Linked DNA regions of Danio rerio. The protein of the gene in region 2 binds, or shares a complex with, the protein of the main gene of each other region. Links are inferred from orthologs where the notes say so. Each region holds a gene or a part of one and is shown on either strand. Other genes may lie near its edges. The genes, in order: pes and bop1.

The links.
Region 1: bop1 (region 2) and pes share a complex: the UniProt entries of both Homo sapiens proteins name them as parts of the peBoW complex. The link is inferred for Danio rerio from reciprocal best matches to the Homo sapiens genes BOP1 and PES1.

What each region holds. Positions count from the first base shown.
Region 1 is NC_133180.1:13,521,938-13,525,766, reverse strand, and holds part of pes (pescadillo), read right to left. Parts: intron 3,123-3,829; coding exon 2,951-3,122; intron 768-2,950; coding exon 678-767; intron 133-677; coding exon 16-132; intron 1-15. UniProt on the Homo sapiens protein: Component of the PeBoW complex, which is required for maturation of 28S and 5.8S ribosomal RNAs and formation of the 60S ribosome.
Region 2 is NC_133194.1:3,468,775-3,473,343, forward strand, and holds the start of bop1 (ribosome biogenesis protein bop1), read right to left. Parts: upstream 2,992-4,569; 5' UTR 2,938-2,991; coding exon 2,884-2,937; intron 1-2,883. Other genes in the region: hsf1 (heat shock factor protein 1), read left to right, coding at 3,638-3,763. UniProt on the Homo sapiens protein: Component of the PeBoW complex, which is required for maturation of 28S and 5.8S ribosomal RNAs and formation of the 60S ribosome.

The DNA.
Region 1 (3,829 bases), on a different chromosome or scaffold from region 2:
TTTCGTGAGCGATACCTTGGGCGGGTAGACAAGGTTGAGAGTCTGATAAAGGCGGAAGTTAACGAAGCCGAGCAGTGTTGTGTAGAGCTCTGTGAATGTGGCCATAACTCTGTAGTCCACATCTGTAGGATGCTGAGAAGAAGAAACAGGAACACGATGAGTACGTTCAATGTAATAGTCATCATAAAATAATCTGCAGAAGGACAACAGCATCTGAAATATTGATAATGATCCATGACCAGTGATTAAATAACAATAGTCATTAGAGGTGCTGTACATGTTACCATGAGTTAGTTAACAGCAGATGTGTAGGGTGTGTATTGTTTGGTTTAATTTATTTTTTATTGAGCTTTTCCCATAACTGGTACCTTAACAATCCACAGAAAGAGAACATGTCCTCAACATGATAGTGAATATGTAAATATATAAAAAGACAGAAATACACAAAACCTGAGCCACCCAAGCAAGTACTAATAACAGAATAATAGCCTGTATTCTTGGAATGCTACAAAGCAGCATCAATTTTCAGCTACTCCTGTGGAAAAATGACCATATTTACCTTCTCAGTTTTCCAGGTTTCGTTGATAAACGGTGAACGAAAGTCTGACCCATAGGTCATTGACTGAATGAATACTGAAGAATCCACAAAAATGTTTTCAAAAATATGTTATACTTACATTATGGGCAAACTGATATGGTACGATCCATGTGATGGTCTGTCCCAAAACCTCTGCCTGATAGTAAATACCCTTAATGGAAAGAAAAACCTACAAAAAAAAGAAAACAGTATCAATCAAAGGTGATAGAAAAAGGTTAAAACACACCATCTGCTGCTAAAGCTGAGCTCAGAATCTATTCAAGGCGATGCATTTTAAAAATCTCAGAATCGTTGCTGAATTTCTCGAACGATTTTATCCCTCTGGCACTCTAATATGACCAGCAAATGTCACCAGCTGAAGTCTGAGGCTATGATCAGATTATGAGGCAGCTCACAACACAACAAATTGTAGCAATCAATCTGTCATGACATAGTAGTCAATATTTGAGGTGGATCAAATTTTTTATTGTTCTTCAGACAAAAATAGGGTGTTGATTAAAGGTCCCGTGAAGTTATAGATATCCTAAAAACATTACTGATTCTAACATCAGAAAAATATTATTTTAATTTCACTGGACCTCTAAAAGTTTTAGGACAAATTTGTTTTAAATCACATTGACTACTGTATAAAAGAATGAATTACAATCTCAAAACTAATTCTGCCTAGAGAGGGTTTTTAGTCTTCGAAGGTCCAAAAAAAAAAACTGGAACTAACGACAGAATTGATTTGTTTATTTAGCTTTAGGCTACCGTCCACAATAAAACCCAGATCCTTCACAGTGAATGAGCAATAAGGGTGGTGGTAATTTACTTCATTATCTGACAAACCCCATTTACGGTTTTCACTAGCTATGTTTCCATCCATATATTTTTATGTGCGTTTTGGAACATTGCAAAAAAATCCAACAAACAAAAATGCCGAATAAATTCCAACATGCACATCAACAAAACGTATGTGATTTTGATTTAACAGATAAACCAGCGAGCCGACCATATTGTAAAAAATCTGAAATATTGTTTTTTTATTTAGTCTAAAATCCCTTAGCCAAAGTCGGTGATCAAAATGCTTCAGTATTATAACTTCCAGAACTGTCTTGATTGTCTGTGCTCCCAAAGAACATGTCATGCCTCCAAAAGCAAATGTGCATTAATTAAAATTCATCTTTTGAGAAATTTAGATTAATTTATTATGCAAGAAAAAAGGTCCAAAGTGGCTTCTTTTACCTCAGTTTTTATATTTGGCCCCAGTTTATCAGAAAGTGATAATGATTTTGTTGTCTTTGATTCAATGGATAGAAACGCTGCTTTACTTTCAGAATTTTGACAACCCTAATCATCTAAAACATTTAGGAATTTGGTACTAAACGACACAAGTTTTAAAAATGTCAATTTCCAACATTTGAGCACTGTTGACCATGTTCTTAAAGCCGTTAAAAACCTAAAGAATTATCAGCGGACCACTCGAATGTCAGCTTACAGACAAATCAGCTGATTGACGGAACTTTGAAACGCTCCAGTGTCCCTATACCTGTGCTTACACTCAGTACAGTTCGCATATCACACAGAACTGATGACCTTCAGGGCCAATAAGTCATTTCTGTTGAACGCTTTCAACAGCGTTTAAATGTTAGCAGGAAATGGGCGTTTTTAAAATGTTAGTATCGATTGGTACCAAAAATCCAGTATCAGGATTTTTCAGTTTTGATTTCTTTTCTTCAATCTATGAAAATGGAGCTTCTTGAAAATGATGAAGACTCATTTTTAGTTTGTAAACGCTATCCAGAAATGCCCTCTGACATATCTTCTGGACTATCGTGTCAGGGCAGGGCTCGCAAAATTTGGTGGCCCAACATCCCGTCTATTGTTTTTTTCAGCCAGGCTACCAAAATTAATCTACAACATTGTCTGGTGCTGCTCATAGGTAGCCCGGTGGGCACGGTGTAGATAGATTTTGGTAGACCGACTAAAAAAACAATAGCCGCTGGATGTCCTGCGTATATTCATCTTCTGAGATCAGACAAGATCAGGCACGGTAACAGTGGTATGACCATAAGCTGTATATCATTCCCTGATTAGTACAGTAGATGGCAAGAATGAATGCTGGTAAAATATGCAGACACTCAATGAGCTTGAATCCTGAGATTCTCAAATGTAGTAAAAACACCAGCCTAAACAGGGAGCTTTTACTCTACTTGAGGATTTTTATTCTAAAGTAACATTTTTAAACTGAAAGCACACCAGTGCAAAAAGCCTGAAGTGACTGAAACACTCCAACAGCTGGCTCTCCAGATGAAGATTAAAGAGACTGACCATTTAAAAACAATTATTATAATTCAAACCATTTAAATGTACCTTTCTTAGGGAGCGTGAGGAGATGATGTAGTTCATCCACTCAACACTGAGTCTCCGACACAGCTGAATTGTCTGGACGTGGCATTTTCCAGTACGAGCGAATGTAGAGAACAGAAAACACATAGAAAGGGCATCGTCCACATCTCGGAGAGCATCAATGAACGTGGGATACCTGGGAAAACAAACTTATTTTAGAGACTGTATACAAAGACAACACGACAGGAAGGACATTAATCATTTGGCGGCTCAAAACACTTCAAAGGAATGTGAATTAATTAAGCTAAATTTGTAAATGCTGAAAAGAAAGTTTATTATTAACATTTTAATATTTTACCAGACTAAAATACCCAGAATAATCATTCTTTGGGGAGGCATTCAATTGATCAAAAGTGAAAGTGGTGACATTTAAGAGAAATGCTGTTTGTTTAATTAAAAAAAGATAGTAATAAAATAAAATCTAACGTTAACGTTGCCCTCTAATGCCCGATTCAACACTTCCCATTCACCTTGAATGGGTGATGTCAAGGGTTGCCAAACTGAATTGTGGATCCGTCTACGCAAAAGTTTGGAATTTATTAACTTTTCAAGCACCAACAGCGCCAGCAAATCAGATCGCTTTATGCAAATACTCAGGCTCACGCAGTAGCTGATTGCGAACTAATTTCATTGGCTGATGCTGCTATGATGATCGCGCCTCAACTTTAGCCACGCCCTCCCAAAAGCCTTAACACTGAAGCCCCGTGTAAATAATTTAATTAAAAAATATAAATAAGAGTAATTACATATAGTCATTGATGCACAGATGATCTATAACAGATTATATAAATTAACTTATTAATAATATTAATAAAAGTTCCTGACCAGATTACTACTTTTTTA
Region 2 (4,569 bases):
AAACCATGAAAAAATGAGGTGAAGTTGCTTTTGACTGACACAGTTTTGGCATCTTGTTGTTTATTGAGGTAAAGTTGGTTTTATATTCCCAAATTTGTTCATTATTGAACTAAGTTACAACTTGTGACACGGTCCCCATATCGTTTATCATGTTACTTTTATACATTCAGTCTAAAATAGCATGCAAGTATGACTTTAAAACAACATTAGCACTATTAATTTGACTGTGAACAATTAATATTACTATTATTATTTCCTTTATTTAGCCAGGAGATCACATTAAGACAGTACTGTCTCTTCTTCCAGTGAGACCTGGTCAAGATGGCAGACAGCACATATGTTTTACGTAAAAATCACAAACACAATACCACGAAATTACAAAATCACCCTTCATAAAAAGATTAGAGCATAAATAACAATTACAGGTGTCCTTTAAGATGTTGTACAAAAGATGTTTAAAAGTAGTCGGACTCGGAAGTGTTTCAAGACTGAGCTGATTTTGCAGGTCATTCCAAGCCCTGGGAGCAGAAAAGGAAAACGCACATTTGCCAAATTCTGACAATACCTTTGGGACTGTTAGACCAGTGGTTCTCAAACTGTGGTACTGTACATGTACCACAAGTGGTACGCAGGCTTCCTTCTAGTGGTACCCGGAGGAATGAAATATGTCATGTACATGCTACACACTTGTAAACAATTATTAAAAATGATCTATATAATATGCCATATAGCTCATATTCCTGAGGTAATCTGCCACGTTTTTTTTTAACTGTGCTGAGGTGTAGCTGCTTTACTGGGCCTGCTACGCTATTGTATTTCAATACTGGCCATTTTGGTGGTACTTAGAAAGACCATTTTTTTCTGAGGTGGTACTTGATGAAAAAAGTTTGAGAACCACGGTGTTAGATGAATACATGAACCAGATCTAGTGTGTTGGTTATTTATGTGAAATGCTAACAAATTACAAAGATATGGTGGTGATTTACCTAGGAGAGCCTTTAATTAAAATAAATGAGTATGGATGTAAATATCTCCTTCGATATAAAGATAACCAGTCTAAGGAATCGTACAAAATACAGTGATGCGTCCGTGAGTCTGCGCCTGTGACGAAGCGTATTGCTGCATGATGAACAGAATCTAGTTTTCTGAGTAGCTATATACCACAGGTGTCAAACTCAGTTCCAAAAGGGCCGCAGCTCTGCACAGTTTAGTTCCAACCCTAATTAAACACACCTGATCAAACTAATTGAGTCCTTCAGGCTTGTTTGAAACCTACAGGTAAGTGTGTTGGAGCAGGGTTGGAACTAAACTGTGCAGGGCTTCGGCCCTCCAGGAATTGAGTTTGACACCCCTGCTATATATTAACAATGCTGTATGTCTCCATTTAGTTTGGGCTATATGCACAGCTAGTGTTTTTCAGCCAATGATGAACTTCAGGTGAAAGCTTTATGTGACTGTTTTCAATTTCATACGGCTCCTTTTAAAGCATCGATGTTGTAATGTAATTCAAATATAATCGGTTAAATAGACTTAAGCATCCATTTGGTTGTTATAAAAAGTGTAAAGAGAGACAGCAGGCACTGTCAATAGCAGCAGGCGAGCGCAGTCATTCCATTAAAAATGTAATGGGGTACTATGGTAAAATTAGTTTCTATATTTTACAGACAAAAATTATTTAATGCAGTGCTTCTTGTTTAGTCTGAGACCCACTTTATATTGTATCTCCACCAGGCAGTGAAGATTATTGATTTTTTTATTTATTTTTTAAAGAAATCAGATCTTAGATGTGGTGATTCTGTATGGGGTGACAATTAACAACTAAAGTCCTGGGGCTGGCTGGCTGACTGAAATTAAAAGTCTGTGTGCATATACTCTGTTGGCAAAGAATACTTTTCTGAAATAATATTATTAAACAGAAAGCCCCAATGTGCAAATATAAAAACCTACTTTACCTCAATGAAAACAAATTCACTGTTAAAACACCAATTACTGTATAATGACATGCATATTTAAACAGAAATGTATTAAAAACTACAACGTGATCAAATTTATATAGAAGGACAATCACTAAGGCTTTAACCCTTTAATGTGCCACCAAGAAAAGCATCTTTGGATAGCATTTCTTAACTCCTAATGTCGCTAGTTAACACACTCAATACATTTTTTATCAACAGATCCCATAATTTCTAAAATATTATCCTCTACCAAATGGTAGACAAGTCAGTTTATGGTAAAAGCACCAGAATTAATACACTTACTATGAAAAACCTGATCAATTTATTTAAAAACATGACCAAAACAAAACATTTATGAATTCTAGATGATCTTTATGTTTTGAAATATGCCATAAATATTTCAGATTCTCATTTAACATGCTTTATTGCTGTTTTTAACAATAAAACCAAAACCAAGTGTAGTAGTGCAACAGAATTATGTTTGGTTTTTCAGCAAACCTTCAATGCTGTGTGTGTAAACCATTATTTAAAACAGTCATAATTTTAAAACAGTCATAATTTTAAACGGTCAAAACATGGTCAACCATTTGGTAGAGCAGGCAGTTACAGGACTTTAAATGACTAGTTTGATATATATTACATCAAATGCTTTCAAACTTCAGACTGGTAGTCATATTTTTAACAGCACAACACAACACTACGTTTATAAACACGGCCGACATCTTAGCCGTGAGAAGATACATAATTGACACTCATAAATTGTATAATATAAGTTTAAATCCATGAATAATCTCAAATTCATAAAGTGAGAGCACCTCAAGTCAACCGCGCGCTATATAAACACGCGTGTTTTTATATAACGAGTAGAATCAAACTACTGTGTGAGTACTTCAGAACAACACTACATAAACACAGCATCGAATCATACCTGTTCCTCTTCATTCTCCTCTAAATGTCGTTTCTTATTCTTTAATTTGCTCATGGTGCCGCTGTGAGTTGGACGCATGCTGAAAATGCGACCATGTGGGTTTGAATCGAAGAGGTGAAAGGTCAAACAGTGACGCGTTCGATTTATTTATTTATTCCACTTGTTGTTTGGCGTACTTTTTTATAAATTGTACCCAGCCCGTATTTGATTCAAATGAGTTATCTTTTAAAAATAACATATGATGGAATCCATTGCGTTTTAACACAACTGCGTCTGATGCAAAAGGTTAAAGTTTAACGTAAAATACGTGCCGTTTTAAAATCTCAAATTTGCACAGATTAACAATTTTAAGTGGTTAAAAATAATCCAAATAGCATTATCTTCGTTTTTATTTTTCGTATTTAGTTATATTAATCTAAAAAAAAATATATATTTTTAAACATCCGTCGCGCCTACGTCATCACAACGCGACGCCTCCCAACGCTTCTTGTTTTCTACGCAGTTACTACGCGATGTGGATTTAATGGAATTTTCCACTTATTCTGGATCATCTAAAACACCAAATCGATTCGATTGAATCGTAACGATCACTTTTTAAGCAGGATCCGGACTCTTCAAGGGGTGATGAGAGTTATATCGGCTCGTTTGAACGGTTTAATCTGTAAAGCCTCACCTCGAGGGTGACTCCGCGCTTCGTCAGTGACTCGTTACAGCGTTCTAATTACCGTCAGAAATCATCACTAAACTCTCCGTGATGGAGTATCACAGTGTGGGGCCCGGAGGAGTGGTGGTCACCGGGAACAATGTGCCTGCGTTTCTGACCAAACTCTGGACGCTGGTGGAGGATCCGGACACGGACCCGCTGATCTGCTGGAGCCCAGTGAGTCTATTCTGGGTCTCGCTTTGAGGACGGTTTACTGACCTGGATTACAGTTACATTCAAGTCAAGTCGAGATTTATTGTCATTCGTCTTAATGGGAGGATTATACTAGGACGCAATGTTGTGTGTTTCAGACAGACCACGCTGCTAGTCACGCATTAAAAATAAACAAACAACAATAAGCTATATTAACCTAACGTTATACACAGCTAAGAACTTATTATACTCTACATAAGTTTAATATGAGAGAAAATGTGTGAGAAATAGACATAAATGGCGTATGATACTGTTTAAAAGAGATATTTCAAAGATATTTAATGCGTTATTTTGGGCCTGAACAGATTGATGTACATTTTGTTTTATATTGACACATTCAAACTTTCTCCTCAGCAATGCAATTGCAGAAAACTATTATTTGCATATTATAAATATAGAAATCATTTAGCAGCCAATGACTATCAAAGTACAACGTTGTTCACAGGCAATTAAATAGCAGTAATGTTGTTTTATAGTCATACTTAAATGCATTTTCAGACCGAATATTCAAATTAGTGTGGTAAACAATACTGGGACTACTCAAATGAATGACTGTGCAAATATAAAACCAACTTTACTTCAATCCTAAACAGTACATCCATTCATATGAAGGCACAAGATTGTGATTTCACTGTTAAAAAAAAATTAATCTTGTATCATAACTATGTCTGGTGATACCCGAATATGTAAAAGTAGCGTGGTAAACAATGTAACTTAGTTCATAAATAACCAAATGTGCAAATATTAAACCAACGTTACCTCATAAACAC